7 separate regions of the Mus musculus genome follow, and all the other regions are reported to be linked to region 5. The links are microRNA targets in miRTarBase. Many come from high-throughput screens and were not tested one by one. Region 5 holds a microRNA gene; each other region holds the end of a gene's coding sequence.

Evidence for each region. The annotated mature microRNA mmu-miR-669m-5p reads UGUGUGCAUGUGCAUGUGUGUAU and lies in region 5 at 2,041-2,063, opposite strand. An mRNA with a match to its seed (bases 2 to 7 or 8) in the 3' UTR can be bound and repressed. Matches are read on the target gene's strand: a 7mer-m8 pairs with bases 2 to 8, a 7mer-A1 pairs with bases 2 to 7 and ends in A, and an 8mer does both.
Region 1: the mRNA of B4galt6 is a reported target of mmu-miR-669m-5p. Seed matches in the 3' UTR shown: 7mer-A1 at 3,438-3,444 and 7mer-A1 at 3,587-3,593.
Region 2: the mRNA of Trim65 is a reported target of mmu-miR-669m-5p. Seed matches in the 3' UTR shown: 7mer-A1 at 910-916 and 7mer-A1 at 944-950.
Region 3: the mRNA of Fndc3a is a reported target of mmu-miR-669m-5p. Seed matches in the 3' UTR shown: 7mer-A1 at 1,597-1,603 and 8mer at 1,606-1,613.
Region 4: miRTarBase lists Rab11fip1 as a target of mmu-miR-669m-5p. Seed matches in the 3' UTR shown: 7mer-m8 at 2,037-2,043 and 7mer-m8 at 1,953-1,959.
Region 6: miRTarBase lists Kcnj16 as a target of mmu-miR-669m-5p. Seed matches in the 3' UTR shown: 8mer at 1,626-1,633 and 7mer-A1 at 1,578-1,584.
Region 7: miRTarBase lists Pgm5 as a target of mmu-miR-669m-5p. Seed matches in the 3' UTR shown: 8mer at 3,177-3,184.

What each region holds. Positions count from the first base shown.
Region 1 is chr18:20,684,815-20,688,870 of GRCm38, reverse strand. B4galt6 (UDP-Gal:betaGlcNAc beta 1,4-galactosyltransferase, polypeptide 6) reads left to right here. Exons shown (of 9, transcript NM_019737.2): 9 at 403-4,056. The coding sequence ends at 550. Among named protein-coding and RNA genes, the nearest start is that of Gm16090, 22 kb to the right of the region's middle.
Region 2 is chr11:116,122,479-116,126,547 of GRCm38, reverse strand. It overlaps Trim65 (tripartite motif-containing 65), which reads left to right. Exons shown (of 6, transcript NM_178802.4): 6 at 1-1,840. The coding sequence ends at 482. Among named protein-coding and RNA genes, the nearest start is that of Trim65, 6.6 kb to the left of the region's middle.
Region 3 is chr14:72,536,797-72,540,865 of GRCm38, reverse strand. It overlaps Fndc3a (fibronectin type III domain containing 3A), which reads left to right. Exons shown (of 26, transcript NM_207636.2): 26 at 385-2,913. The coding sequence ends at 699. Among named protein-coding and RNA genes, the nearest start is that of Gm30500, 47 kb to the right of the region's middle.
Region 4 is chr8:27,139,374-27,143,442 of GRCm38, forward strand. Rab11fip1 (RAB11 family interacting protein 1 (class I)) reads right to left here. Exons shown (of 6, transcript NM_001080813.2): 6 at 1-4,021. The coding sequence ends at 3,803. 4933416M07Rik (RIKEN cDNA 4933416M07 gene) reads left to right here and starts at 3,537. Exons shown (of 4, transcript NR_045840.1): 1 at 3,537-3,988.
Region 5 is chr2:10,515,076-10,519,144 of GRCm38, reverse strand. It overlaps Mir297a-4 (microRNA 297a-4), which reads right to left and starts at 2,078; the gene lies at 1,981-2,078. The region is part of intron 10 of Sfmbt2 (Scm-like with four mbt domains 2); the gene reads right to left. It overlaps Mir297a-3 (microRNA 297a-3), which reads right to left and starts at 3,325; the gene lies at 3,224-3,325. Mir466l (microRNA 466l) reads right to left here and starts at 3,048; the gene lies at 2,928-3,048. It also overlaps Mir669i and Mir669h.
Region 6 is chr11:111,025,083-111,029,151 of GRCm38, reverse strand. It overlaps Kcnj16 (potassium inwardly-rectifying channel, subfamily J, member 16), which reads right to left. Exons shown (of 2, transcript NM_001252209.2): 2 at 1,184-4,069. The coding sequence ends at 3,379. Among named protein-coding and RNA genes, the nearest start is that of Kcnj16, 30 kb to the right of the region's middle.
Region 7 is chr19:24,681,035-24,685,103 of GRCm38, reverse strand. Pgm5 (phosphoglucomutase 5) reads left to right here. Exons shown (of 11, transcript NM_175013.2): 11 at 530-4,069. The coding sequence ends at 619. Among named protein-coding and RNA genes, the nearest start is that of Tmem252, 9.1 kb to the right of the region's middle.

The DNA.
Region 1 (4,056 bases), not on the chromosome of region 5:
TTGTTTTAAAGGAAGGAATTTTCTTTCATAATCAAAGGTCTCTGGCAAATGTTTTTGGGTTACAGTTATAGGGTGTGTGTCTGTGTGTGTATGTGGGGGGTGGTCTGTGTATCTTTGTGTCTGTGTGGCATGTGTGTATGTGTGTGTATATAGAGGAAGAGACAGATGTACACAATCATGCCTATGTTCATAACTAGTTAACTTCTTATTTTTAGAATGTTTCCCTTCTTAAAATATAATCTAACTTGTGACAGTATAAAATTCTCTCTCTTTAAGGTAACCTGTTTTTGACTAGTCTAATTTAAAATAATGGCTTAGAGAGTTTAAAGCATGCCTTTATTATAAGAATGCCTCAGAATATATTTTCCTCTTTTGAACACATTTCCCACTGTTTTCCCTTAGGTATAAATTACTTCGGTATTCCAAGGAGCGGCAGTACATCGATGGACTGAACAATTTATTATACACACCCAAAATACTGGTTGATAGGCTGTATACAAATATATCTGTAAACCTCATGCCAGAATTAGCTCCAATTGAAGACTATTAAAAGAAGTCATTCTCATGGTGGGGTAGACCACAGTGCTGGATCATGAACTTGGCTTGGAGTGCCCTCACCGTGGAAGTTAGAGATTGGGGTGTATCTCAGTGTCCCGGTCTGTAAAAAGAGCCAGCAATCCTTAATGTTTACAGCGCGGGCTCCATCCGTCACACTCTCCCACTCTCCCCCTGCTGGGAGCGTCCCCCCATGGCAAGCACTGTAGAGATAAGAACCCATTGCTTGGGACTGGAAGTGAAGAAAACTCCCTACACAGAGAAGATTTTTATACTGAAATCTATAATTTAATTCAAGAGAATGCTTTTATTTCCGTTCAAACATATTTTGTACATATGTGATGTAAATTAAATGTGTTCAAATTGTTGGAAAACAAGATGTCACAATTTTGCATGTAATTGGTTATGCCTTCATTGGACTTTTATAGACATTTTTTTATTTGCATGGGGAAAAATGTAAATTTATGTCGCCAAACAAAGGTTAAGCCTTGTGTCAAATGAAGGGACTGTCAGCGACAGACAAAGATAATATAGTAACCGTTCTGTACTATTGGTGTTCAGCTTTAGACCTTCAGCCTCATGGCAGGAGGCACGGTCCTCTGAGGGCTTCGAAGGAAGGAAGGACTCGCATAACTTTTCTTCCTGCCACGATTACCTGTTTTGTTTTGTCTATTTTTTCCCTTGCTTGCAGTCTCATCAGATCTTGCCAAGTCAACAGCCATATTGTTTATGCATACTGCATGAGTATTACCAAGAAAACCTTCCCAGTTGTAAAGTGACGTGCTGTACAGGACTTCTTCATGTTAAATGTCTCTATGTACCTCCGCGTGTCAGGGATCTTGTGCCTCAAAAAAACGTTCCCAAGGTTGTGTTTATACACGGTTGTGTTTATACACGGTATATATATTTTTTTCAATCTCATAATGAAAACATTATTATTCCCACCTTAGAAGAACCAAAAGAGGGTATCTTCTTTTAAAAACTTTTTTTTTTTGAAAGAATGACTTTATGGAAAATCCAGTAGTGCTTATACAGATGAATTATACTATTAGATGAGAGATTAGATGCTCTATTTTTATGAAGATAAATGCTTAGATTAAAACAAACTTCAACTTTAATTCTCAGACATACATGGTTCCCTTTCACATTAGCTCGTCACTCCTACTGCTTTTTTCACTTTTAAGAAATCTCTGGTGTTATCCAATTTTTTTTTCACTACAAGTATAATTTAATGCCTACCACCACCACCACCACCCCACCACCACCACCATGGTGCTGGGCAGTGAGCCGAGGGCCTATAGACTTACCTTACAGTCATTAATTGACTGTGTGGATATTGTGACTTCTGCTCACCCTCCACACACGGGTGAGGTTTTCAATGACCAGACAACAACAAAGCCCAAATAGTGTTCTTACTTTGAAAATGATTGATTATAAAAATTCTTGAAAAATAGCCTATATTCACATGTAAGATCTTATCTCCCATCTTTAAACAAATTTAGAACAACATCGTCTGTCAAGTAAACCCTAAGAGTGAGAATTCTGGATGTGAGAAAGTTTGCTCCCCTTGTCTAATGTTGAGAGCTTAGCTTTCAGTTGTCATTGTCTGTCATAGTTTTGGTAATGCTGATGACCACAAGTCAAACCCTACAGTGATAACTAAAATTCTTGCACCGGAGAAGACAGATGCCCTGTTGTGACAGCAATCTCTCCGTGTTTATTCTTAGAATTGCTTCTAAAATATTTACCTCCCAACCTTTTTAGCTACTCAAAAAAGAGTGAAAAAAAAATCTCAACTTCTGGAGATGAAGATTTTTGTATGTTCTCAGTTTATGTTCTGTCTCCTGTGGCTAATGAAGTGTTTAATTTGACCGAATGACAGCAGAATGTAATGTTAATGTTAAGGCGGGTGAGACAGGGCTCTTTGGCCCCTCCTTACAGTGCTGTGGGAAGCTGTGCCATGTGGAATTTTATTGGAGGACACACACTTCATAATGTGGCGGGCTGTCCACAGTGGGGTGCCTTTTGCATTGATACTTAGTTCACAGTTTTAGGAAAATTCAGAACTGGTCATCTGCCTTACTTTCTTAGGTTAAGTCTAGTATTAATATGGCTTCCGGAATTGGATGTAAGTAATTTTGCTATATCTTCGTGTTGCATCTGGAATGTCAGCTTGTGAGAACCACCTTTTCTAATTCAGACCTGGAATTCTTTTCAGTAATGAATAGTGACCTGGGTATGTTTCCATGGATGACAGTTTTGCCTAGTTACCATGACCACGTGACAATAAATCTCTTTCTTACATATTAGCACAAGCAGGCAGTCTGATAGAATCAAATCTATTTGGTGGCTTTGCACTGGGTGTCTGTCTCCCATCCGCTGACTGGCTAACTGTGGTATTTAAAGGCAGGTTTTGTTTTTTTGTTTTGTTTTTTCCTAAACAACTTAAATCAAGAAAGTTGAAACTTATCTGAAATTAGAAAGAACACCCTCTGGGAACTTATCTGTTAGATGTCTTAGTCTCAAATCTAGTGTGGTCCCAGCTGCTGGGAGGTCCTTGTGACATTGGGGAAATGATATGGTGCCTTTGAACTAAAGAAATCGTGGCTGATGGGGAGAAAGTTCCTACATTCATTGATTTCCCACATTCTATCTGATTTTCAATAAAGTTGTCATTTAATTATTTGCCAAAACTAGGGTTTTAATGAGGTGGCTTCCACAGCCCCCTTTTTATATTTATTTTCAGTTGTAGGCCCTTGAGATGGCTCAGGGTGTAAAGGTGCCTGCACCAAGCCTGACAACCTGCATTTGATCCCTGGGACCCACACTGTAGAAGTAGAGACCTCCCCTTACACAGTATTCTCAGACTTCCATATGTGTAAGCACACACATGTACACACACACACAGCAAATTAAAAAGTAAAAGTTAAATTTCTGTTTGTGTCTTATAGAAAGGTGTTCACTAAGAAAATATTCATGAAATTTAAGTACAAAATTATCTATTAAAAATTCCTATCGGTTAGTCGTGGTGGCACACACCTTTAATCCCAGCACTCGGGAGGCAGAGGCAGGCGGATCTCTGAGTTCGAGGCCAGCCTGGTCTACAGAGTTAGTTCCAGGACAGCCAAGGCTACACAGAGAAACCCTGTCTCAAAAACCAAAAAAAAAAAAAAAAAAAAAAAAAAGAAAAAAAAAGAAAACTAAAATTCCTATCCCAGCTCTCCAGATGCAGAGGCAGGTTCTCTGAGTTCAAGGCCAGCCTGGTCTACAGAATGAATTCCAAGACAGTTGGGGCTACACAGAGAAACCCTGTTTAAAAAACACACCAAAAACTCCTATTCCAATTGATACTGATAACCCTTGTAAAAGGAAATGGAAGCATTATCAATACAATATTGTCCCTTTGGAGATCCCTGGGGGAAGCAGATTTGTGTCATTGTATCTGTCCTGTTTCTTTATGTACCTTTCAGATAAATAACACTCTAGATTTCTTGCCTTGGG
Region 2 (4,069 bases), not on the chromosome of region 5:
AGGGCCCAGCCAAGTCGGGCAGCTTCGAGCTGTGGCAGGTGCAGTGTACCCAGAGTTTTCAGACTGGACAACATTACTGGGAGGTACGTGTCTCTGATCACTCTGTCACTCTGGGCGTCACCTACCCAAAGCTATCACGCCAAAAGCTGGGGACCCACACGGATAACATCGGCCGTGGACCCTGCTCCTGGGGCCTCTGCATCCAGGAGGACAGTATGCAGGCCTGGCACAATGGCAAATCTCAGCGCCTGCGTGGATTGCCCGGACAACTCCTGGGCGTAGATTTGAACTTGACCTCTGGCTGCCTCACCTTCTACAGCCTGGAGCCACGCACACAGCCGCTGCACACTTTCTATGCAGTGTTCAGCCAGCCTCTCTTCCCTGTCTTCTGGCTCCTTGAGGGGAGGACCCTTACTCTGTGCCATCAGCCTGAGGCCACGCTCCCTGCAAGGCCCCAGGAAGAGGCCACAGCACCCAGCTGAGGAAGGCACAGACAGGTGCCACCGTGCCTGGGTGCCCAAAAGTGGCCCCACCTCTAGCTTCTAGAAGGAACAGCTGTTGGCCTCTCTGTTGACTCAGAGACGGACATGGGAGAGGAGCCTTAGAACAAAGTTTACTTTTTACTATCTATGAAGGGGACAGGGGACAGAGAGAAATTAAATAGGAAGTCCCAGCCCCAAGCAAGAACCAGGTTCTTAGCATTGCGTGGACATCTATCTTAGTCACTGTTCTGTTGCTGTGAAGAGACACCATGACTAAGGCAACTCTATAGAAGAAAGCGTTTAACTCAGGGCTTGCTAACAGTTTTAGCCCATGATTATCATGGAGGGAAGCAGACAGGCGTGGTGCTAGAGCAGTAGTCAGGAGCTTCACATCCTGATCACCAGGCGCATGGGCACGAGTGCGCACGCACACACACACACACACACACACACACACTCACGCACACAGACTAGCATAGGCTTTTGTATATTTAAAGTGACACACTCCCCCAACAAGGCCACACCTCCTAATCCCTCTCAAACAGTTCCACCAAGTGGGGACTAAGCGCACAGGCTGTAGACAGCCAATGTGGTGATGAGTATGGGTGCAGCAGATGTGGTGTGGCAGATGTGAACCGCTTTCCTTTGCTTGTCCCACATATGCTTCCATGAAGGTTCTGGGTGGTTTTTTGCTCACATTTCTGGAAGTAGAATTTTTTTTTTTTTTTTTTTTTTGTACTGGGTATAGAGTCTGAAATGTTTTGAATGCTAACATTCAGAGTTCTGATCTCTCACTGACAACATCTCCAGCCTGGGGTGATTTATTTACTTGAGAGCCCCCCACCTCCCCCCCCCCCCATGTTCTGATGTTGGTGGTAGTTACAAGGAAGCCCACTTTTGTAATGTCCTTTTCTTTTTGTAATTCCTTAAGCATTTGTTTTGTATGCTCGTGGGTAAACATCTCACAAAAAAATTAGAAATTCTTTCATGTTTATTTAGTGTGGGACTCAGAGTGGGGTGGCTTGTGTACGCCATGGCTTACGTGTGGAGGTCAGAGGACAACTTGCAGGAGTCCGATCTCTCCTTCTACCATGTGGGTTCTGGAGTGGAACCCAGACTGTCACGCTTGACAGCAAGCACATTGGGATAGCTGCAGTTATCCCATCATCCCGACAATAACAGGTTTTTGTTGTTTGAAACACGATATCTCTATGAACCCCTGGTTGGCTCAGAACTATGTAGACCAGGCTGTCCAACTCATAAAAATCTGAACCCCCATCAGTGGCCTCTAAGAGTTTTTAAAGAATTATATGTGCAATAATATATTCCCTAGGGAAGATATAAATATTTTATATGAATGATTAAGCATCTCTTTCTTTAAATTTTTTAATGTATATGTGTATTTTACCCACATGTATTCTCTCTCTCTCTCTCTCTCTCTCTCTCTCTCTCTCTCTCTCTCTGTGTAGGTGTGTGTGTGCAATGCCTGAGGAGGCTAGAAGAGGGTGGTGGGGACCAAACCCGGTCCTATCTCTTTAGCCCTCAGACAGTCTTGCTCTATAACCTAGCTGGGTGGAGCTCCCTATAAAGCTTATTTGGCTTCAACCTCACTGCAGTCTAGGCAGCCTCCTCCTGCCTCTTCCTCCTGGAATCATAAGCCTGACTTTTTTTGTTGGGTGAGGGGTTGAGACTGGCTCCTAATCTATAGCCCAGGCTGGTCTGGAACTTGCAGTGTCCCCATGCTGACCTCAATCAGGTGGCAATCCTCCTGCTTAGCCTCCCAAGGGTTGGAATTATAGGCATAGCCCATGAGCCATCCCACCTGTGAGCCATCCCACCTGTGAGCAACCCCACCTGTGAGCCATCCCACCTGTGAGTCACCCCACCTGTGAGCCACCCCACCTGTGAGCCACCCCACCTGTGAGCCATCCCACCTGTGAGCCACCCCACCTGTGAGCCACCCCACCTGTGTGCCACCCCACCTGTGAGCCACCCCACCTGTGAGCCACCCCACCTGTGAGCCACCCCACCTGCCAGGTTTGTGTAGGCTGCTGTTGTTTCTGAAGCCAGCCAGGGCTACATAGGAGGGCAGCCACACTCCTAAGAGGTTTAGGGTTATTAATGCTGCACTTGCCCCACCTCCTCTGCAGGGCCTGCTGAGGCAAGATGTGTAACCCATCGGGTTTCCATTTGCCTCTCCTACAGAGAGGGTGGAATTAGAGGCAGGTATGAGCACATCCTTGCAGCGCTACGAAGTGTTGTTATTTGTGCCTGTAATGTCAAAACAATTCTGAAAGAAGGCAGATATTAGAAAACAATGTCTAAGCCAGGTAGCAGTGGTGCACACCTTTGATCCTAGCACTCAGTAGGCAGAGGCAGTCAGAGCTCTGTGAATTCAAGGCCAGCCTTGTCTACAGAGGGAGTTCCAGGACACCTGGGGCTACACAAAGAGAAGAAACTTGCTCTATTTGCTCTGCTCATGTGTGTCCTCAGGGCAATTTTCTCCTGGCCACATGTTCATGGTCGGTCCTTGAGATCCATCCTGCCTCATAGCGACTGCCTCCTCCCGCTACCTTTTTCCTTCTCCTGGTCCCTAGCAGAGACACACACACCCCCCCCCCCCCATCTCAAGTCCCACCTTCTTCTCTCTCCTGCCCAGCCATAGGCTCTATTTAGCCTTTAATTATCCAATCAGGGATTATTGGGGAACATTCTGTACAGCACATTGTTCAATACAATGCCCATGTCTGACTGCAACCTGATCTTGGGGCACAGAACTTAGCATTGGAATACACAGTGCACAAGACCAACCCCAACACAGAGGTAGGCAGCTCTCTATGACTTTGAGGCCAATCTAGTTTACACAGCTAGTTTCTGGCCAGCCAGGGCCACATAGAGAGACCTGTTTCAAAAACCCAAAACAAAAGCGATTACCACCATTCTGTATTTGTGTGCTCGTACACTCAGCTACTGAGAAGGCTAGAGCAGGAGATTGCCTGAATCCATTAATTCCAGACTAGCCTGGACAGCACAGTGAGACCCTAGCTTATATCCTATTAGACCCATATCCAATAAATATGACAGCCTGAGTCTTAGGCATCATAGCTATCAGGTGTCATAGGTATGGCTCCACCACTGGGCTACATACCTACAAATTGTTACCTTTGTGGAGTGGCAGGGTTGAGACAGGATCTCACTGCATGGCCCTGATTGATCTGGAACTTGATTTGTACACCAGGCTAGCCTTGAACTCACAGAGACACTTCTCCTCTGCTCCCAAATACTGTGATTAAAGATGTGTACTACCTCACCCGGAACACTTGCTGCCCCCAACCCCCTCGGGGTTACAGGTGAACAATTACCACAACCAGCTCTTTCTATATGAACAAGATATGCACCATAGACCTGAGTGACTTCCGAGAGCTCACTGCCTTCTTTAGATGAGTACTGCCTTCATTGTCCTCTAGTGTCCTAAGAATTTGCAATGGTCATTAAGTTCTTTAATAAATCTCATTTGGAGCTGGAGAGATGGCTCCGTGGTAAAGAGCACTGACTGCTCTTCCAGAGGACCCTGGTTCAATTCCCGG
Region 3 (4,069 bases), not on the chromosome of region 5:
AAAAGAAAAAATTGAGGCTGGCAGATGAAGAACTTGCTATGCAAGCTGGGAAACTGAGTTTGAGCTCCAGCATCCACATAAAAGCCATGTGCCCACAATGTCAGTGCGTGGGAGGTGGACAGGGGAGTCCTCAGGCGAGCTACAGGTTCATGAGAGGCTTCCCAGAAAATACTAATAAATAAGGTAGAGAGTGCGTGAAGACGGTAAGACAGCCAGCATTGCTCTCTGGCCTGCGTGGGCAAGTGCCCACATTCCGCACATACACAAGATGAGATGAGTGATTTTCAGACATGTTCACATCTGAAATAATTCCAGAATGTACCTGTGCTAATAGTTTTTGTCCAGACTTTGTACTCCATTCTTTTTCTAATATTTCCTCAACAGATTTACAAGGGCCCTGATACTTCATTCCGGTATTCCAGCCTTCAGCTGAATTGTGAGTATCGATTTCGAGTGTGTGCCATTCGCCAATGCCAAGACCCTACAGGGCATCAGGACCTGGTAGGTCCCTACAGCACCACAGTGTTCTTCATCTCCCAGAGGACAGAACCGCCGGCCAGCAGCAACAAAGACAGTGTGGACAGTGCCCGGACCCGGCGTACTCTAAGTGACGAGCAGTGTGCTGCAGTCATCCTGGTGGTGTTTGCTTTTTTCTCCATTCTGATTGCCTTTATCATTCAGTACTTTGTAATCAAGTGAAAATATAACTTTATTTTTAACACTGTATTACATTTTATTTTGTCATGTACTAAAATTATTTCTGTATTGCTTTTACAAAATGGTGGCATTTAGCACTGGCATTGAGACTATCTATTGAAACATGGCTTTGGCATTTCAGTGCTTCTGTTGTTAGGCAAAGGCTGGCCCTCCATGGGAGTCCAGCACAGAAACATCAATCTGGGGAGGCTGGGTATTTTGGTTTGGGGTTGGAACTTTTTTCCCTGCTTCTTTTTTTTCTCTCTCTCTCCCCTACACACCTCCCTGAAACCCCAGATATGCCTTCTAGTGAAACAAGCTTTTTAAAGGACACTGCTATGATCGTGTTGACCAGTCAGCATAAGTAAAACAGTGGCAACCACGTCTGTGGGTTTCGCAGATGACTGCCATGTGAAAGAACAGTTCAGAATGACTAGAATTTACACTAACGTTCTCTACGAAACTTGTTCAAGTCTGATGCTGTGAAAGCAATCTAGTGCTATACTTCTACCTCCTCATTTGTCTTAATTGTTTGGTAAGTGGGATTTTGATGAATAACTGGAGGGCTTAGCAAACAAAAACTGGATGAAGGAATCTGAGTGAAAAAGAAGCTGTTTGTTGAGTGTGGAGTTCTTCCTTACACACACACACACTTACACACACATACATCCACACACATACACAAATGCATACACACGAACTCACAAGTGAGACCAAGAAAGCACAGACCCAGAAATACGGATCATTACCTGAACAGTACCTCTTTTTGGGATTTGAGAACAGAAGACTTTTAAATAATAACTAAATATGAAGCCCGTTTAGCTTCTGTTTTCTGGGCCTTGAAACTCGTGTGTGTGTGTGTGTGTGTGTGTGTGTGTATGTGTGTGTGTGTGTGTACACGCACACATGTGCACACACATTCACATTGGGTCTGTGTGCAGACTGTCAGGTAAGGAGATGTGTCCACACTCATCACCTGGTCTAGGCTAGCTTTGAAGGACTCCCAGTGGTTCTGCAGCATCTCCTGTAACTACTGCTGTTGCCGTCAGAATTTCTAATCAAACTCAACCTTTTTGTTTGGGGTACCAAATCTGAAGACAAAATTAATTTGCACCAGTAAACTTCAAGCTGCTTTCTTTCTTGAGAAACTAATGTTTAATGTATAATGTCTGTTTGGATACTGTTCCAAATTGTTGATTGCATGTGGGTACCGTTGCATTAGAGCACTTTGCAAATTGCATAGTTCATTGTTTGTGAGCTTGCATTTGTGAGTTATTGGATGATCAGATTGAATTTTGTCATATCACATTGTACATCTCGCCTCGATGTCAATGACTGCCAGTAATAATACAGTCTGCAATGAATTTATATGAAATTTTTGTTTTATCACATGTTATCTGTAGACATCTGTAACTAGCTTCTTTAATTTATTATTTGGATTTTAGAGTAGCGAGTCACTAATTTTTAGTTGCTGAGGTCTGCATTTTAGTGATTACTAAGCACTTCTGTCTGTCAAAAAGAAATGTATGTTTTGTACTTTGAAGATCTCTGAAGAATTTCCCTTATAATAGAATGGGCATGTATTGTAATTGTTTTATGTCAATGATCTGCGCTATAGAAAAAACATTAACCTTTATTCAAAAAAGAAACGGATAAACTTGGCCTCTCCAAGTGTAAGAAAACCCTGTCACTCTAATATACTGTTTGTTTACATTTTATTTAATCTCTTATGAATAGGGTGATAACTTGTCCCCCAAACAACTGCGATTACGATTGTTTTCTAGAACTTCTTAAAAGTGCCACATTTGGCAGTACAAATGAGTCTGAGTGTAAGAGCCCAGAGATTTCTATATAGTTGAATGTCTAAAATGGTAAAATGTGCCACACAGTGGCTTATGTTTTTCATAGTAATTCAAATGAACTCCTATTTTTGATAGTAAATGTCATTTAATAGTGTACTTGCCATTTGAGCCTCACTGCAATGTTAGTGCAGAGGAGAAAACAATTTTTAATGTAATCTTGATTTTACCTCATATACTGTACATTCCAAAAACTCAACTTTTTAAAGATTATAGATACACTACCAAACATACCACCTTAAAATTGTATAAGGTTGAACTTCATACAAGTGAAAAAGTATAATCTCATAAGAATACATAAACTATGTAGCAAAAGTATCTGTAAAATCCATGGAAAATAAAAGTTGTATCATTCTTTTTTGAGATATGTTTTTTGTATTTATAAACAGTTCATCACTTGCTACCTATATAAGAAAATGAAATATCTCCTGTCCAAGGGGCTTAAACATTTTCCCAGTGATATTTGAACTTCAGCCTGAGGGGACACATACTCAATATGCAATTCAATCTAGTAGACTCAAAAATGAAATTAGAAGCTTCCCCCCAGCACATGGGAGGCAGAGGCAACTGTGTCTCCATGAGTTCCAAGCCAGCAAGGGCTATATAGTGAGACCCTGTCTGAATAAGAAAAAAAGAGTTTAGAAGCTTTACCTAATGAATTGATCTTGCCCAATTCATTGTCTTGCTTTAAATAAAGAAAAGGATGATTCTGGTATCAACTTCCCATTGGAAAGAAAAAGGGAAATTCTAGTTGCCTTTACTTGAGAGACGCTTAAGGAGGATCACTTCAGTCTGGGAGTAAGTGCCACATTGGACAGCATTGTAAGACTGAATTCTAAGTACCTTTGCCCCTGAGGAATAAAATCCATGACCATCCTTGAATTCCTCATCTGCCCAGAGCTTTCCACGCCACTGAAAAGTTCAACTTTTCTTCATTTTCCACTAACACTCAGCTCCCACAGGACTCCTGGGGTTTGTTGCTTTTATTGCCATTTGTGTGTGTGTGTGTGTGTGTGTGTGTGTGTGTGTGTGTGTGTGTGTGTGTGTGTGTGTGTGTGTGTGTGTGTGGTACTGCAGAAGTCTTTTGGATCAAAACCATCATACCTCTCAGAGGGCATCAAAGGCCCATACAGCGCTGCACCTGTCTCCTCTCGTTTTTATGAACATTGGATGCAGACGTTTTACGCATCAGCCTGAGCATCCCAGGGCTTGTTACTAACTCATGCAAGCTGCCCCCACCCCCTGCAAGGTGAAAGCACAGAAGCCCTGGCCCCTCCACTCACCTGGTGTCAAGTGGAGTGGGACCAGGGATGGTGCCTTCCCATTTTCCTTTGCCACCTGCAATTGCTGGACCTGGGGTCACGAGAACAGGAGAACTAGCCCTGATCTCTCACTGGCTGCAACACTCAGAGCTGACCCTGTACCTTGCCTGGGTAACACAGTGGACCTTGCCTTGACTGTGAAGGCATGAGAGAGCTGGGCCAGCCTCTTAAGGCTGCAGCACTTGGGAGAGC
Region 4 (4,069 bases), not on the chromosome of region 5:
AGATCTCATTACAGATGGTTGTGAGCCACCATGTGGTTGCTGGGATTTGAACTCAGGACCTTCGGAACATCAGACAGTGCTCTTAACTGCTAAGCCATCTCTCCAGCCCCAGTCAGAGCTCTTAACCACTGAGCCATCTCTCCAGCCCGGGTTCATGCTTCTTATCTAAGACAATAGATTTTCAGTCTTGAAGGATCCTCAATTAGTACCCACCCCCACCCTCAGAAAAAAAAATTAAAAGCTGTGAATGATAGCACACTCTGATATTCCCAGCACTCAGAAGGCAGAGGCAGGAGGATAATGAGTTCAAGGTCATTAATAGCCATAAAATCAAGATTAACCTGGCTCACATGAGAAACTGTCTCAAAAAACAAAGACAGAAACACAACTCGGGGGAGGGTCCAGCTAAGAGTGTAACTCAGCAACAGAGCATGGAATTAGCAAGCACAAGACACCCAAAGGGGGCGGTGTGGTTGACTGGGAGAAGAACCTAGGGATGGAGAACTCTAGCCTCGATACAGTGCACGGTGAAGCGTCATGGACCAGCCTCTCTTGCTGGACAGCAGTGGAGCATGGCACAGGGCAGGGTTGCTTGCTCCTTCTTTCTGTGGCCCAAGTAAAGGTAATATGGTGGAATAAAACAGGGAAGCCAGGCCAAGTGCCGAAGCCAAAGATAAGATGATATGAAACGATTAGGCCAAGGGCTGGCTGGTTTTTAGGATGCTGTCCTAAAATGGAGTATGCTGGTATTTAATCCAACGCCTTCATACCCCACCCAAATCTCTGGCTGGGCTTTCTTGGAGGTAGCCAGGCATGGGCAAGGAAAGGGCTCTTTCTTTCTTCTTTCTTCCCTTCCTTCTCTTCTTTCTCCAGAGTGTAGGCCCCTCCAGGGCACCTCAAGTTGGCATCAGTGGAAGCTACAAGCACAAGGCAGAGGTCAGCCTCAGTAGCTCCAGGGCTCTCCCTGTCACCAGCCTCTGCCAGTGGCTCAATGCAGGTTCGGCTTCCCTTGGTTGGTATCACTCCTTAGTGCCCGACCAAATAGTCAGGAACAGTTATTATAAGTAGGCAGGGCCTCTATTACCTTGTGAGGTACAGCAACGTCAGAAAGGCAGTGTTTCCCAGCACTGCAGAAACCAGCAAAGCCCCCGAAGTAAACTGTCCTTCATTCTCCAGAGTCCCCAAGTGGCATTTCAGAGCACAGGAATTCACTTCACCTAGACGGTCCTCGCTAGAGCTGACTCGGTTACATACCAAAGGTCTGAGTAGCAGTAGAGACCTCCAGACTCTTCATACACAAGGCAGCTCCCCAGGCTGCCTCTTCTGAGCAGTGCTCCAGTGCACTTAGGTTATCACAGTAAAAATGCACTTATATCAAGTTAAAAACAAAAAAAACAAAACAAAAAATCAAACCAAAACCCCAGGATGCAGAACAGAAATATACATGTACATTTTCAGAGATCAAGTGGATACAGTTTCTTTATAGGCATATTAATGAATTTCATGACACTAAAAAAAAAAAAAAATACAAATCATCTCAAGAAATTTACAGTGGTCCCTAGTACTGTAAGAGAGATTAAATAAAAATACGTGTGGATCATCAACAGCTTGTTAGGTAAATCAAGTTACAGTCTTGCCCTTCAGATTAAAGTGCTGCAGTATAACCAGCGTTCCTCACCTTCCGGGTGATAAGAACACACAGATTCTTCATTGAGAACCACCGCTACCCCACCCTATCCACGGCAACCCTATCCACGGCATTGGCCTATGACTCGCTGAGCAGAGGTGTTAAGATTTAGTGAGATTTTTTATTACTACCAGGAAGAAAAAAAAAAATCATGAAACATTTTAATTCCAGAATGAGGTGACCAGCAATGGAATTCCCTCTACTAGTGAAAAAGCGGCCGTGTGTGTGTGTGTGTGTGTGTGTGTGTGTGTGTGTGTATATTAAGGTGTGCATCTATATGTGTATGTATATATACATATGTGTGTGTTTTAAGATGTGTGTATATATGTATATATATATATATATTAAGGTGTGCATATATGTGTATATATATATATGTGTGTGTGTGTACATTTTATAAAAAAAAAAATACATTGATCTACCAGGAATGGTGGCACATACCTGTAATTCCAGTATTTGGAAATTTGAAAAACTGAGGCGGGGGTGGGGGTGGGGGTGTGTGTATGTGTGAAAAGCTTAAAGCCAGTGAGATCTGTCTCAAAATAGCAGCAACAAAACTCCCCAAATCAGGAGGTAGCAGCAAAGAAGCAGATGCCATCCTGTAGCTCTTCACAACTGTTCCTTACCGCTGACGTGTGGCTGGGGCGCTCTACCCCTGAGCACTTACCCAGCCCCTGCCTGAGCCTCCTTCATCTTGAGAAATCAGTGGACTGTCTACTCCCTTCCAGGAAACGCCATTGAGACAAGCCGATGGCAGGAAACGGCCAAAGGTCCGGTCCTAAAATCATCCTCCACCTCACAGAGATGCTGTAGAGGAACTCAGTCCCCTCCCCACCTAGGAAAGGCCAGCGGGGCAACAGGAACCCCGAACCCTGAGGAGAGACCGACTCTCTGTTTCCTTTTAAATTTAATGTTATGTGTATTGATATTTTGTCTGCATGGATGTCCGGGTGACACGGTCAGATTCCCTTGAACAGAAATTACAGACAGTTGTGAGCTACCATGTGGTTGCTGGGAATTGAACCCAAGTCCTCTGGACCTGGTCCACTGTTCAGCCAGTGAGTGCTCTTAACCACTAGACTATCACTCCAGCCTGAAAAGTGACTCTTTAGTTCTTTCATGTCTCCAGGAAATGGCCCTATAGATCTAAAGAGCAGTGTGTGTGTGTGTGTGTGACCACATGAAGGGCAGAGGTCTATGGTAGCTTTTCATTTTATTGTTTAAGACTGTCCCTCACTGAACCTGGAGTTTCCAGTGAGCCCCTGAGATCTGCCTGGCTCTGCCCTCCCCCAGCCCAGCCCCCACCCAGGCACATGCCACTCTTCCTGGCTTTAGCATAGATGCTAAGAATCCAAACGGAGACCATCAGGTTTGTAGTGCAAGCACCTTACCCACTGAGCTATATCCCCCAATCCATGGAGAACATATTTTTAAGGCCAGAGGGTACTGCCAATTGTAAAAGGCATATTCAAAAATCTAAGAAGCATGCTCAGAGGTTTTATGTAAACAACCGTGCTCCGACCAGAAGGCATCAAACACGGCTGTAATCCTAGCACTTGGCAGTGGGGGGCAGAAAGGTCAGAAATCTAAGGCCAATCTCAGTACACAGTGAGTTCAAGAGCAGCCCCAGCCCGGGGCTACATAACACCCCACCCTGAAAACAGAACAACGCCTCCCAAACCAACCCTCACCAAAACAACCCTTGAGTCCTCGGGTTTACCCGAATTAAAAATTGAGCTTGTGCCTCAACCGAGGTGCTCAAAGGCCAAGAGAGCGGGTGAAACAGCACACATCCCAAAGTCCCTTTCTCATCTCACCCTGAGCCTGCCTTCACGGAGGATCCATACCGGAAGATCTCAGCATCAAAGGGCAACAACCCTGGCGTTAAAACACATCGGATCAAATCTGATATTTACAATGTAGTCAAAGGCACAGTGGCATTGAAAAACAAAACGCTGGGAGATGTATAGTAAAAGATTCGTTGTAATCATTAATCTGGTTTTCAGCTAGGAGAATTAACTCTTGAGAGATGATGCACACAGCAGGCCTTCGGAACCGGTGTGCTAGTTACTAGGGAGACCACGCCTCCTTCAGACCACGCCTCCTTCCCGCAGTTTACATCTTTCCGGCCTTCTTGCCCATCTGCGCCGGCACTCGGAGGATGTTGGGGGTCTCCTCCATGACTCTGACTAGCAGGTTGTCGATGTAGTCCTCCAGCTCCCGCACCTGAAACTCCTTCTTGCTGATGGTCTCCTTCTGTTTGAGGACTAGCTGGATCAGCTCATCGTGGGTCAGCTGCGCGTAGGCAAAGGCGGGATCCGAGGGCTGGTATTTCTTTGGAGAGGGAAGGAAGAGGGAAGGGGTTAAGAGTCAGCAGAGACA
Region 5 (4,069 bases):
CATTTCGTACAACAATTAAAGCACTTCTCTGTGTAAAAGCAAGCACAGCATTCTAGTTTGAATTATGTTAGGAGACAAAGATATCACCAAAAATAGACTCTAATATCATATAAATATCAAGTGTTGACAGGGAAAAACAACACTTTAAAAAAATTCTTAAAGAATTATTAAATAAGCAAAAGGATTCTTAGTTTTTAACGACCAGAAATGTTTTCAATATTAAGAGCAACCCAGCTTTACCTCTTAACCCCATTCAATTAAAAGTGACCTTTTTCATAGAGAATGAAAGAGAAGACAGCTATTAATGAGGGAGGTATTCCAGTCTCCCGAGCCAGATGAACGATAAATTTTAAATTAAGATATATTGCAATCTGAAAACTCAAAGAAAATCATCAGGTGTACGAAAAACCAAAAGAATCACACCATAGCCTGCCTGTGTGCTGAGTTCCAGAGATCCAACTCAGGCTGTCAGGTTTCCACAGAAGCCATTTTCACCTGGAGGGAGAACTAGCCCTGGATCCGTTCTGCATAAGCTCTAAAGCTCTGAGTCACATCTCATTCAAATAGATCGATCAGAGCCACTAATGTGCGTGTAGGTGAATGCCAGTGTGTGTGTTTATGTATATGTATGTGAACATTCATATACATACATTTACATGCACACATAAGTATGAACCCATGCACATACATGGGGGAGGGCATCACATGAATCGCATGCTGATCTCTAACTCATCATGAAGTGAAACATGAATTTGAACTCCAGGACCTCCTGACGCTGGCAAGAGTATTCACCTCCTAACTGAGACATAGCTCTGGCCCAGTACTGCATAAGCTCTAAAGCTCTGAGTCACATACCATTCAAAAGGATAAACGAGTGTCATTCCTGTGTGTGAGTGTGTGTGTGTGTGCATGTGTGTATATGCATATTCATATAGAGAAATGAATATGCACTCAACTATACACCCATGCATATTTTTGGTGGGCATCACATGAATGCCAGGATGATCACAAACTTATCAGGAAGTTAAGCATGAATTTAAATTCCTGATCCTTCTAACTCTGGCAAGTGGTTTTCACCTGGTGAGTTAGATGTAACACTGACCCATAATTATACACTCTATAAAACTCTAAGCACATATAAATCAAACAGATCTATGACTGCCATTCTTATGTGTATATGTATGTGTGTGTGTATGTTCATATACATGCATGTACAAGCACACTTACCTACACATATATACACATACACAAGGACAATCAAATGAATTCCAGGCTGATCTCTAACTCATCATGAAGTTAAACATGAATTTGAACTCCGTATCCTCCTGACTCTGGAAAGAGTATCCACCTCCTAACTGAGGCATAGCTCTGGCCCAGTACTGCATAAGCTCTAAAGCTCTGAGTCACATATCATTCAAAAGGATATATGACTGTCATTCCTGTATGTGAGTTTGTATGCATGTGTGTATATGCATAGTCATATAGAGAAATGAATATGCACACAACTATACACACATGCACATTATTGGTGGGCATCACATGAATGCCAGGATGATCTCTAACTCATCAGGAAGTTAAACATAAATTAGACCTCCTGATCCTCCTGACTCTGGCAAGAATACTCACCTCCTAACTGAGACATAGCTCTGGTCCGTTACTGGATAAACTCTAAAGCTCTAAGTCACATACCATTCAAAAGGATATATGAGTGCCATTCCTGTGTGTGCTTGCGTGTATATGCATATTCATATAGAGAAATGAATATGCACACAACTATACACCCATGCACATTTTTGGTGGGCATCACACGAATCGCATCTGATCTCTAACTCATTATGAAGTTAAGCATGAATTCGAATTCCTGATCCTCCTGACTCTGGAAGGATTATTCACCCGGTGAGTGAGATCACGCACTGGCCCAGTCATACAGAACCTCTAAGACTAAGTCACATATCATTCAAATGGATCCATGAGTGGCGATTTTGCGTGTATTTGTGTGCATGCTTGTATGGGTATGTGTGTATGTATATGTATACTCATATACACACATGCACATGCACACATACATATACACACAGGCACATACACTGGGGGGGGGGGGCGCCATCACATGAATCTGAAGCTGATCCCTACCTAATCATGAATTTGAGAATGAATTTCCACTCCTGATCCTCCTGACTCTGGCAAGCATTTTCACCTTGTGAGTGAGAGCACCCACTGATCCAGCCCTGCATAATCTCTCAAACTCTAAGTCACATACCTTTAAGGCCTGACTCTGGCAAGCACTTTGACCTGTTGAGTAAGAGCATGCACGGGCACAGTACTGCATAATCTTTAAAACTCTTAGTCACATATTATGCAAGTAGATGAATGCAAGTCACCATGTGTTTGTGTGTGTGTTGCATGTGTGTGTGTGTCTGCACATGCATATCCATATACATTCATGAACATGCACACACATGTAAGCACACGTGCACATACATGGGTGGCATCAAATGAATACCAGGATGATCTCTAAATGGAGTTTGAACTCCTGATCCTCCTGACTTTGTCAATCATTTACACCTGGTGATTGAGACCATTCACTGTCCCTCTACTGCATAATCTCTAAAACTCTAAGTCATATATCATTCAAATGGATCGATGAGTACCATTCCTATGTTTGTGTGTTTCTGTGCTTGCATTTATACATGTGTGGATGTTATATATATTCATATACACACATGCACACACAACTATACACACGTTCACATGCATGGGGGGAATCACATAAATCACAGGCTGATCTCTAAGTCCTCATGAGTGTAAGCATGCATTTAAGCTCCTGATAGACCTGACTCTGGCAGTTGTCTACACCTGATGAGTGAGAACACTCACTGTCCCCGTACTGCATAATCTCTCACCTCTAAGTCACATGTTATTCAAATGGATCTAAGAGTGCCATTAATGTGTGCGTGTGCATGCATGAATATGTGTGCATGTATTTATATGTATATCAATATATATATACATGTACATGTACACACAAACACACATGCACATACATAGGGGTCATCACATGAATGCCAGGTTGATCTCTACCTCATCATGCAGTGAACATGAATTTGCACTCCTGATCATCCTGGCTCTGGCAAGGGGCGTCACCTGGTGAGTGAGACCTCTCTGTGGCCCAGTCATACAGAATCTCTAAGACTCACATATCATTGAAATGGATCGATGAGTGTCAATTTTCTGTGTGTTTGTGTGCATGTTTGTATGGGTATGTGTGTATGTATATGTATATTCATATACACACATGCACATGCACACATACATATACACACAGGCACATACACTGGGGGCATCACTAGAATCCGAAGCTGATCCTGGACTCATGAATTTGAGAATGAATTTCCACTCCTGATCCTCCTGACTCTGGCAAGCATTTTCACCTTGTGAGTGAGAGCACCCACTGATCCAGCCCTGCATAATCTCTAAAACTTTAAGTCACATGTCATTTAAAAGTATCAATGAGTGCCATTCGGGGTATGTGTGTGTGTGTGTGTGTGTGTGTGTGTATGTGTGTGTGTGTGTGTGTGTGTGTGTGTGTGTGCCTGTGTGTATGTGTTTGTGTGTATTTATATGTATATTCATATGCACACATACATTAGCACACAAAACTATGCAACATGAACATACACTGGGAAGGAACCCATAAAGCCAGGCTGATCTCTAAGCCATTTTGAAGTTATTCATAAATTTGAACTCCTAATCCTTCTGAATATGGGAAGCTTTTTCACATTGTGAGTAAAAAGTTTCATTAGCCCAATACTACATAATCTTTAAAGCTCTATGTCACACATCATTCAAATGTATCAATGAATGCCATTCCATGTTTGTGTGCTTGCATTTACATGTATGTTTATGGTATGTATATTTATATACACACATGTGCATACACAGGGACGTAAACACACATGCACATACACGGGTGGCATCACATGAATACCAGGATGATGTCCAGCTGAAGTTAAGCATGAATTTGAACTCCCGACCCTGCTCAATCTGTAATATGTTTGCACATGGCGAG
Region 6 (4,069 bases), not on the chromosome of region 5:
GGAGGTCTGGTGAATCCTGCTGTAAAGATCACTCAGCCACCAGTGTCTCAAAGGGATTTCCAGGTCAAAGACAATTCCTTTGTGTTAGTTTTACAATAATGATGGCATTTCCTCAACTCCCAAGAAAATATGTAATTTCCACGGGGACCAGATACAGCAAATGTCATATACAAGTGCAAACTGGATTTAAGCTGTTCATCTTTTTCTTTTCTTTTCTAGCCTGTCTGTTTTCAAAGTCATTCCCTAGAGACATGATTTGCCCTGTGATGGTTAGACAGTGTTTATTTTTACTCTTGCATAAAGCTAGATCCAGCCGAGTAGTGACTACTGATAGCCGACAGCTACTGGAGTAGAGAGAGTCTGGGGTTTGTTTGTTTGTTTGTTTGTTTTATTTTCATGTCTCTGGTGGGTGGTCCCTATTCCAGTGGTAAATGGGCCCAATGGGTTAAAAAAGACAAGAGAGCATGAAGTCTGGAGAGGGTATGTCGGAGGGATCTGGAACAGAGGAAGAAATCGATAAATGAATGTGACCGAAGCACACGTATATCGTATGCACGGATGAATTTTTTTCAGACTACACAGACATTTGCACGTGGAGGTTATGGTCCCTCTGTCCCTCCATTCTGTCTCCAGGAGATGTGTTTCACTTATGACATGGCTGCAGAGCCAACAGCCGTCAAGTTTGAAGTTCATGAGGGAAAGGGGGTGACAAGGGAGAGTGAAGAGATGCATGCCTGCTAAATCTGCCTCTATAAAAGTGAAAGTCACACCGAGAGACTTGCACTGATAACAACATGACCCAGAATGCAGCTATTTAATACCATCTGTGACCCGAGCTCCCCTCCCACCAGAGGAAAGGGAAACTGAGGGGCACTGTTGCATGGTCTCACCTGAGCACACTGCTGCCCCAATTAGGAATTTGTTTGTGAGGGGAAAAAAACAAAACAAAACAATGAAGAGGACCTTTGTTAAATACCCACCTTACCATTTCATCATGGAGACTAAGTACATTTTGCACAAAGCCAGTCTGTGCTGTTCATAGAAGTGACTGTCTCTTTAGGTGTGGCTGCTCCACACACTGGTAAGAGCCCCATAACAGTGTCTCATGAATTATAGGAGGCACCATTTTCAGTTTGGGGAAGCAGAATCGACATTTACAGGGAGCAGAGGGATGTACACAGCATTTGCACCAGTCTAAGATCTTTATTAAGTAAGCCATCAGGCGTGTCAAAGCATGTTATAAATCTGCACAGAAGATGAGAGATGCATGGGACCACACGTTTCACTCTGTGTATGAACACACAGTGCACCAGAATCTGTTTAATCAGAGACCTGTGATCCCTGACCACCGCCACCCCATTCTGATCTTGTCATAGGAGGACAGAGCAAAGGAAGCCTGGTGCACTGGATTGTACCTGCCTTGAAGGAAAACAAATTTAAACTGGTGGAGAAAGCATGGTTAGAGCGATGTTTTCCAGCCTTGGAAAGGGTAATATTCTAATTTAGACAAGTAATTCCTGCTAAAAAATTCGAATTTTCTCTGTGTGTCTGTCTCACCCACCTCACCCCACCGTGTGTGTGTGCGTGTGTGTGTGTGTGTGTGTGTGTGTGTGTGTGTGTGTGTGTGTGTGCATGCCAGATGTGTGGGTGTATAAATACATGGCTCTATGGTTTAACTAATGGATTCTCCATTCCCAAGTATTGCAGGTTAAACATGATTTAGGTTTCAGATATTAAGAAGTCCAGGACAGTTTTTAACATGCCCCATGAACAGATAGATCTCTTATTTATATGACAGCAGGAACGAAAGATTTATCTACACATGTGCATTAGAAAAGTTACACTGTATTCTGTATTGATCCTGGGTAACAAGGGAGAGGTAAAGAAAGAAAGGGAGTGGGAGAAAAAAAATAACAGAAAAAAAGAAGAAAAAGAGACCCCTTAGAATATCTATTTATTTGACTTAGCTTGGAAGTCTTGAATTGTGTGATTCAGTTCAGTGTGCCTATGGGATTAAATTTAAGTGTGTGTGTGTGTGTGTGTGTGTGTGTGTGTGTGTGTGTGTGTGTGTGTGAGAGAGAGAGAGAGAGAGAGAGAGAGAATAAGAGGAAGAGAGAGAAAGAAGGCACCAAAAGAATCAAAATGTGTTTGTGCTTAAATTCAATACCAGCCATATAATGTCCTCCTTCCTAGCTCAGCAACAGTGGGAAAAAATTGCTCCAGTGATGCCAAGCCATGGCTAATAATTCCTCAGTTTATAAAGCTTACGGTCTCTGTGGCTGGGTTCGTGCTAAAAAGGAATCAGCAATTAACTTAATCCTTTAATGTGAAGACAGAGAATAAACATGCATCTCTTGTCCTAAAATTTAAGCAGCCCCATAATATTCAGTTTATTCCTCTTATTTACAATCAAATCAACATCATTGTTGACAAAAGTATTCAGACCTGCAACTCAGGTCACCATACATACTGTGATCCTCTGCCTTCAGGAAAGGTTCTATCTCTTTGAATTCTCCTCAACCCACACTGTAGCCTCTCAGGATCAGGAATCAAGAGCATCTAGCATCTCTTCTCCAAAGGTCTGAGGATGCACACAGCTGCTGCCCACTCCTGCATCCCACCTTGCCTCTTCACAAATGCTTGAGCACAGTGGGATTATGAGCACAGGAACCTTCTCCAGGGAGCACACAGAAAGGCCACCGCCTCCCTTCTGCTCCCCAGTGACTCGGTTGAACCAAGGTATTTAAGAGAGAAATACTAATTTACGTAATGATGTCCCTTTTCTTCTGTCACATGGTTGGTTCTGGCTTCCAGCATTCACTAATAACACTTTAGGCAAGCATCTCTGACTTGATAGCATTTTCACTTTCCTAAAGCCACACCTCTGTCTGCAAGATACTATGAGAGGCAAATGTGGTAAACTCAAACTTCACTTGGTTTTACTTTCTCATCTCAGTGTTTCTGAGCGGAGGCATATTTCACCTGCTGTGCTTAGGTGATACAATACGGTTATAAGTTCTCATTCCATAATTAATTTATTTTTATATGCAAATATTTAGCTTATCTGCTTCTCTATATTTATCTGGTTTAACAGCCTCTTTTTCCCCCACTCCTAAATATTTCACCTTCAAGAGGAGACACAGGTATATGCAATAATGAGATTAATTGTAATCAATTAAGCTTCATAATCACTTCCCTAATACAAACTCTACTGCCAAAGCCAAATTTTAATATTGTAAAATTGTGGATTTTTTAGATAATAATTCACCAAGTTTAACCTGCTCTGCTTTCTATTCCTGTCCCAAATCACAGAACTAACACTTTGTTAAAAATCATGCTTACAGCTTCTGGCCCTTAGATAAGGGTCGGAGAGGAGGGCTACATCTGGGATTCCATGGAGATCCTATTTAAAGTCAGGAGGGCTTTCTGATAGGGCATCTCCTTACATTCATCTTGTGGGGACAGGACGGTCTCCTCTGGGTTCTCACAGCTGCTCACCACGGCAACTGCGCTGAAGGACCGCCTCCTGGTGTTGGTGTCAGAATTGCAGGATCCTCGGGCAGGGGACGTTTTCTCCAAGTTGTTGAGTTGTTGGTCCTTCCAGTCCAGTTGTTTGGCACTGCAAAAGGGGGCGTAGACTTCCACGCTTCCTTCAAACTGCAAGCAGTTCACCTTGTAGTACTTTCTCTTCACTTCCAATACATCATGAAACCTGTGGCCCCAGAGAATTTCTCTGGGGATGTAGGAACTTCTGGACTGGTGGGATGTCCCAGTGGAATCACCAGTATAAATAAATGTCACCAGAATCTCGAAATTATCTTTGGCCACTGCCTTGCGGTCAAGGGCATACAGAGGGCTCTCATGGTCAATTTCATGGACAATAGTCACTGGAGTTACCAGGATTATCTGGTCATTGACGAGTTTGAGGTCTTTAAACGCCATCGTCATCCTCCCTTCACTGTCTTCTGAATAGCGCAGAAGTTGGGCTCTCACCGTGCCCTCTACCACATGGTTTGGTCGGAAGTCACCTATGCGCCACATGAGGCAAAGCTTCCCGTCTCTCATACCA
Region 7 (4,069 bases), not on the chromosome of region 5:
GGAAGGTCAAGGAGAGATGCTTGCTCCTTTGTTGAACTGTGTTCCAAAGCTCTCCAAGCCATCCCACCCCTCTGGGAAGACTGAAGAAGCTCAGTAGCCAGGGTTGATCCACCCGTTCTACAGTGTTAACACGGTGGCGGTGCCATCTACCCTGAATGTTCTCAGTATGGTGGGAGGACCAGCAATGAGCTTTGCCCTCATACTGAATGAGGCCAAGGGTTTGATGGGGCTATAACTTGGAAGGGATTAATGTATCAGAGGAAGAATGGAGGTTTCCAGACTTCCCGAATTCACAGTCTTGTTTAGTAGTAGGCTTACACATGACCCCACCATTAGTTAATTTCTCTGCGCTTGGGTAAAACCTCATAGAGCAGTTTTCTGTCCTGCTTCTGTGTCCGGCCCATTCCAGTCACTGCCTACAAACTGCAAAATGCACTCTGAATCCACATCTCTAAGGTAGAGATCCATCCAAAGCCTGTACGAAAGCTAGATGATTTCAAGTTGACTATCATCCTTCTTTCTTTTCCAGGCAGTGCTGAGCCCGCTCATCGCCATCGCATTGAAAATATCTCAGATTCACGAGAGGACCGGCCGGAGAGGACCCACCGTCATCACCTGAGCACAGGGCAGCAGAGCACTCCGAGAGATGCTTCACCATGCCTTCTTGCTTCCTGTTTGTGCCTCTTAGGACTTTGGAAAAACAAAAGCTATTTTGCTGTTGGGGTGGGGTGGGGTGGGGTGACAGGAGGGTGGGAGTGGGGGGAGGGTAAGTACCCCTTTTGTTTTGATTTGTCTTCCAAAAGCAGCAGGGTCTTTGGTTGGTTGTCTGCCAAAGCTTCACTATTGTTTAATACCTGGATTTCATCACACCAAAGTGCTTCCCTTTCTGAGAAAAATAGATGCCCTAGGGAACTATTAATCACAGCCCCTGTATATTTCTAGTGTCTTGTGAGAAAAGATTCTGAGAGACAGGATAGAGAGAGAGAGAAAGGGAGGAGAGAGAGAGAGACAGACAGACAGACAGACTAAGGTTTAGAACTTCTAGGAAACACCCCCCTCCCACCAGTCGTCCAATGGCCACACTTCCCAGCCTGCCAACAACTCTGCACCACCTCTCTTACTTTTCTAGGGTTTTCTATGATTCACAATGACACACCTCCAACAAGGCATATAAAAGGGTGTTTTCCTTTCTTTTATTTTGCATGTAGTCTTCATTTAGCTACCAATCTGGCTGCATCTCTCTGAATGTAGTCGCTTCCTGTGCAGGTGGGGAAGGATTTTCTAGAAAGGTTTCAAAATGAGGAGGAAGCTTGCTTGATTATGTCACAGAAGTCAATACATGAGTCTGTATAAATCCTCCCAGGAAGAATACCAGCGCATGATCTGATCTTGCTCACAGTAGGTGGATAAAGGAGAAGAGAAGGGGCTGGAGTGTTTAAAGGGACAGTTGTGGGCCCCATGAGACAGAGAGGTGGATTGTCACAACTGGCTTTCTTTGCCTGGGAGGGAAAGAGACCTGGCAGCTCCAGCAGGCACGTGGACGAGGGCAGAGTCCTCAGCCAGGCTCGGGATGTGTTTGCTTCTGTTTGTCTCCCTTGGGAACTGCAGGTTCCTTACCACACCATTTGCGGAGGTGACCTAGTGCCCTTTGACTGTTGAGCAAGGCATGATTGCTGTCGTCAAGGTCGGCGCCTTAAGGAAAGATTTCCAGCAAGGTGTTTGTTTCCGTTTTCTCTCTGTGCTTCTGTCAAAAACTTGCTAGGACATTTAGGAGTCAATAAAACAGAATTTCCTTATTTTAACCTCCATACAAGATTATGGGCCTCAGGTCCTTTGTGCCTCTTGCTGCTTTGCCATTCCATCAGTGGCCCCCTGTACTGATAAATCAGCTGCTCAGAACACTGGCACGGCTGTTGTTAGCTCTGATGACTGGGCAAACGGATTCTAAAATTAGAACAGGGGGGTAAAAATGGAATTGCTCAAAATCAGTTTTGGGAATCAACAAAAATTAAAATGGCATCTAGTCATTCACCATAACAGGGTTTACTTCGGAATAATACGATGGTAGCTTTTTAGCTGAGATTATTTAAAAAAAAAAAGGTTATAAAAAGTATGTCAGGCATGAAAATGTTTTGCCTTGTGGCTTTCATTCTCATTATCTCTGGAGTAAAGGTCCCGATAACGTCTGCCCGTTCATTCACTGTAGACATGCTGTCAGTGTGATCTGACAGAGCCATTGGCTCATCAGCTCTAGCTGGGCAAGCAGATCTCTTTTTCAAGTTCCTGAACTTAAACCATCTCTAGCTTTTAAGTTCAAGTTATTCTACTTAAACATCCTGTTTCCTTTTTAAAATGTATGCGTAGTAGCCCAATTTATAGTCACTTATTTGCTCATTCATTCATTCATTCATTCATTCGGCAAACACTGGTTGAGTAGCTACTCCAGATACATCTCTGGTTTTGTTATATCAGAAAGAAGGATCAAGTTTTTCTTGCTCTTAGGAATTTACAATTTGGAGAGAGTTGGCCGTGACAAAGACCCAAAAGTAACTGGGGAGGCATAAATGTTGCAGTATAGACGCAAGCATGAACTCTGGGGACATGCAGAGTGTAACTGACTCAGAAATCATGGGACACATGAAACAGGACACTTTTTCTAAGGAATAGGGTTTCTTGGGATCCACAAGCATTTGTATAATTTGCCAGAGATGAATGGAAGCAGCAAGACAGAACAGTCTTTATTAGCCAGGACTTACAGAAGAGGTTGACTTTAGGGGCCACAGTTGGAGTGGTGGGTGACGTTGAGACAGACACAGGCTATGACATCAAGGGCAGCTATATTAACAAACAGTAGGCTATGACATCAGTGTCTCCCTCAGTGACTCTAGGACCCTCTCAAGTTCACATTGCTGAGGAATCATTTCTGCCTTAACCCAAGATTGTATGTGTGTATTCTTGCATTATTCTCGTGTGAGATGGAAACCAGAAACACAGTCTTCCCTATATGATGCTCTATTTGTCAAAGATGGAAAGCCAACAGCCAGCCTTTAAGAACAAATGATTGGAGGGTCATTGAGATGGCTGGAGGGTGGCTGAAGGCATTACTGCAGAGGCCTTACAAGGGGCTTGAGTTCTTGAACGAGTTGTCCTCTGACCTTCACATGTGTCCTGGCCTGTGCACACACACACACACACACACACACACACACACACACACACACAAACAATCTTTTTTTTAAAAAAATAAGAATAAGCAGCATGTGACATGAAAGAGTTTTGTGGGAGCCAGCACAGTGAATCACAGAAGAGGTGCTGTGGTTAAAATGAAGTAACTATTAGGGCTACTAAGGGCTACTCTGGTGGTCTTCTAGCACCAAGGGGTTCCCTTACTGCAACATATATAGGAGATTTGGAAATGTGTAAGTGTATAATGATGCCAGGGAGGCATTTATAGGGAGAACTTGGTGGGGTATTAAATACTGTACCTGCCAGGTGTCAGCCATCCACCCCCAAAACAAGACGTTGCTTTGTTTCATCCAGGACTCTAGAACTTCTTCTTCATCCTTTAAAAGGGGGAGGGGTGAGTATGAAGATGCCTCAGCTAGTAAATTGTCTCAAAAAGTATTGACCTCTGGCTTCCATATGTGTGTGTGCACATGCATTCACACATAAGAGTAGCCATTTTTAAAGAGAGAACACTTATCAAGTCTTACTGTTTCACATTGCAGAATGCGTCCATTATATTTACAGGTCATGAATGCCTTCACATAAGAAGCTTTAGATTCATGGCCATCCTTGATAGAGGTCATGGATGACCCTGAGGTCATGGCCACACTTAATCCTGGCAAGAATGATGGTATCATGGCATTGTTTGGCCACCCACTGGTCAATATCAGGCTTGAGATTTGTTAGTGGTCGGATCCACGAGCTATGGCTGATGTAGAGGATGAGCCACGTTTGTGGATAAGGACAGTAAGATGACTCCATGCCCATGGCTAGTAAATCAGTGTTTGGACCATCAGCCAACGGCAAGAGATTATCTGAGGCAGCAGAGCTTAACAGAATGTCC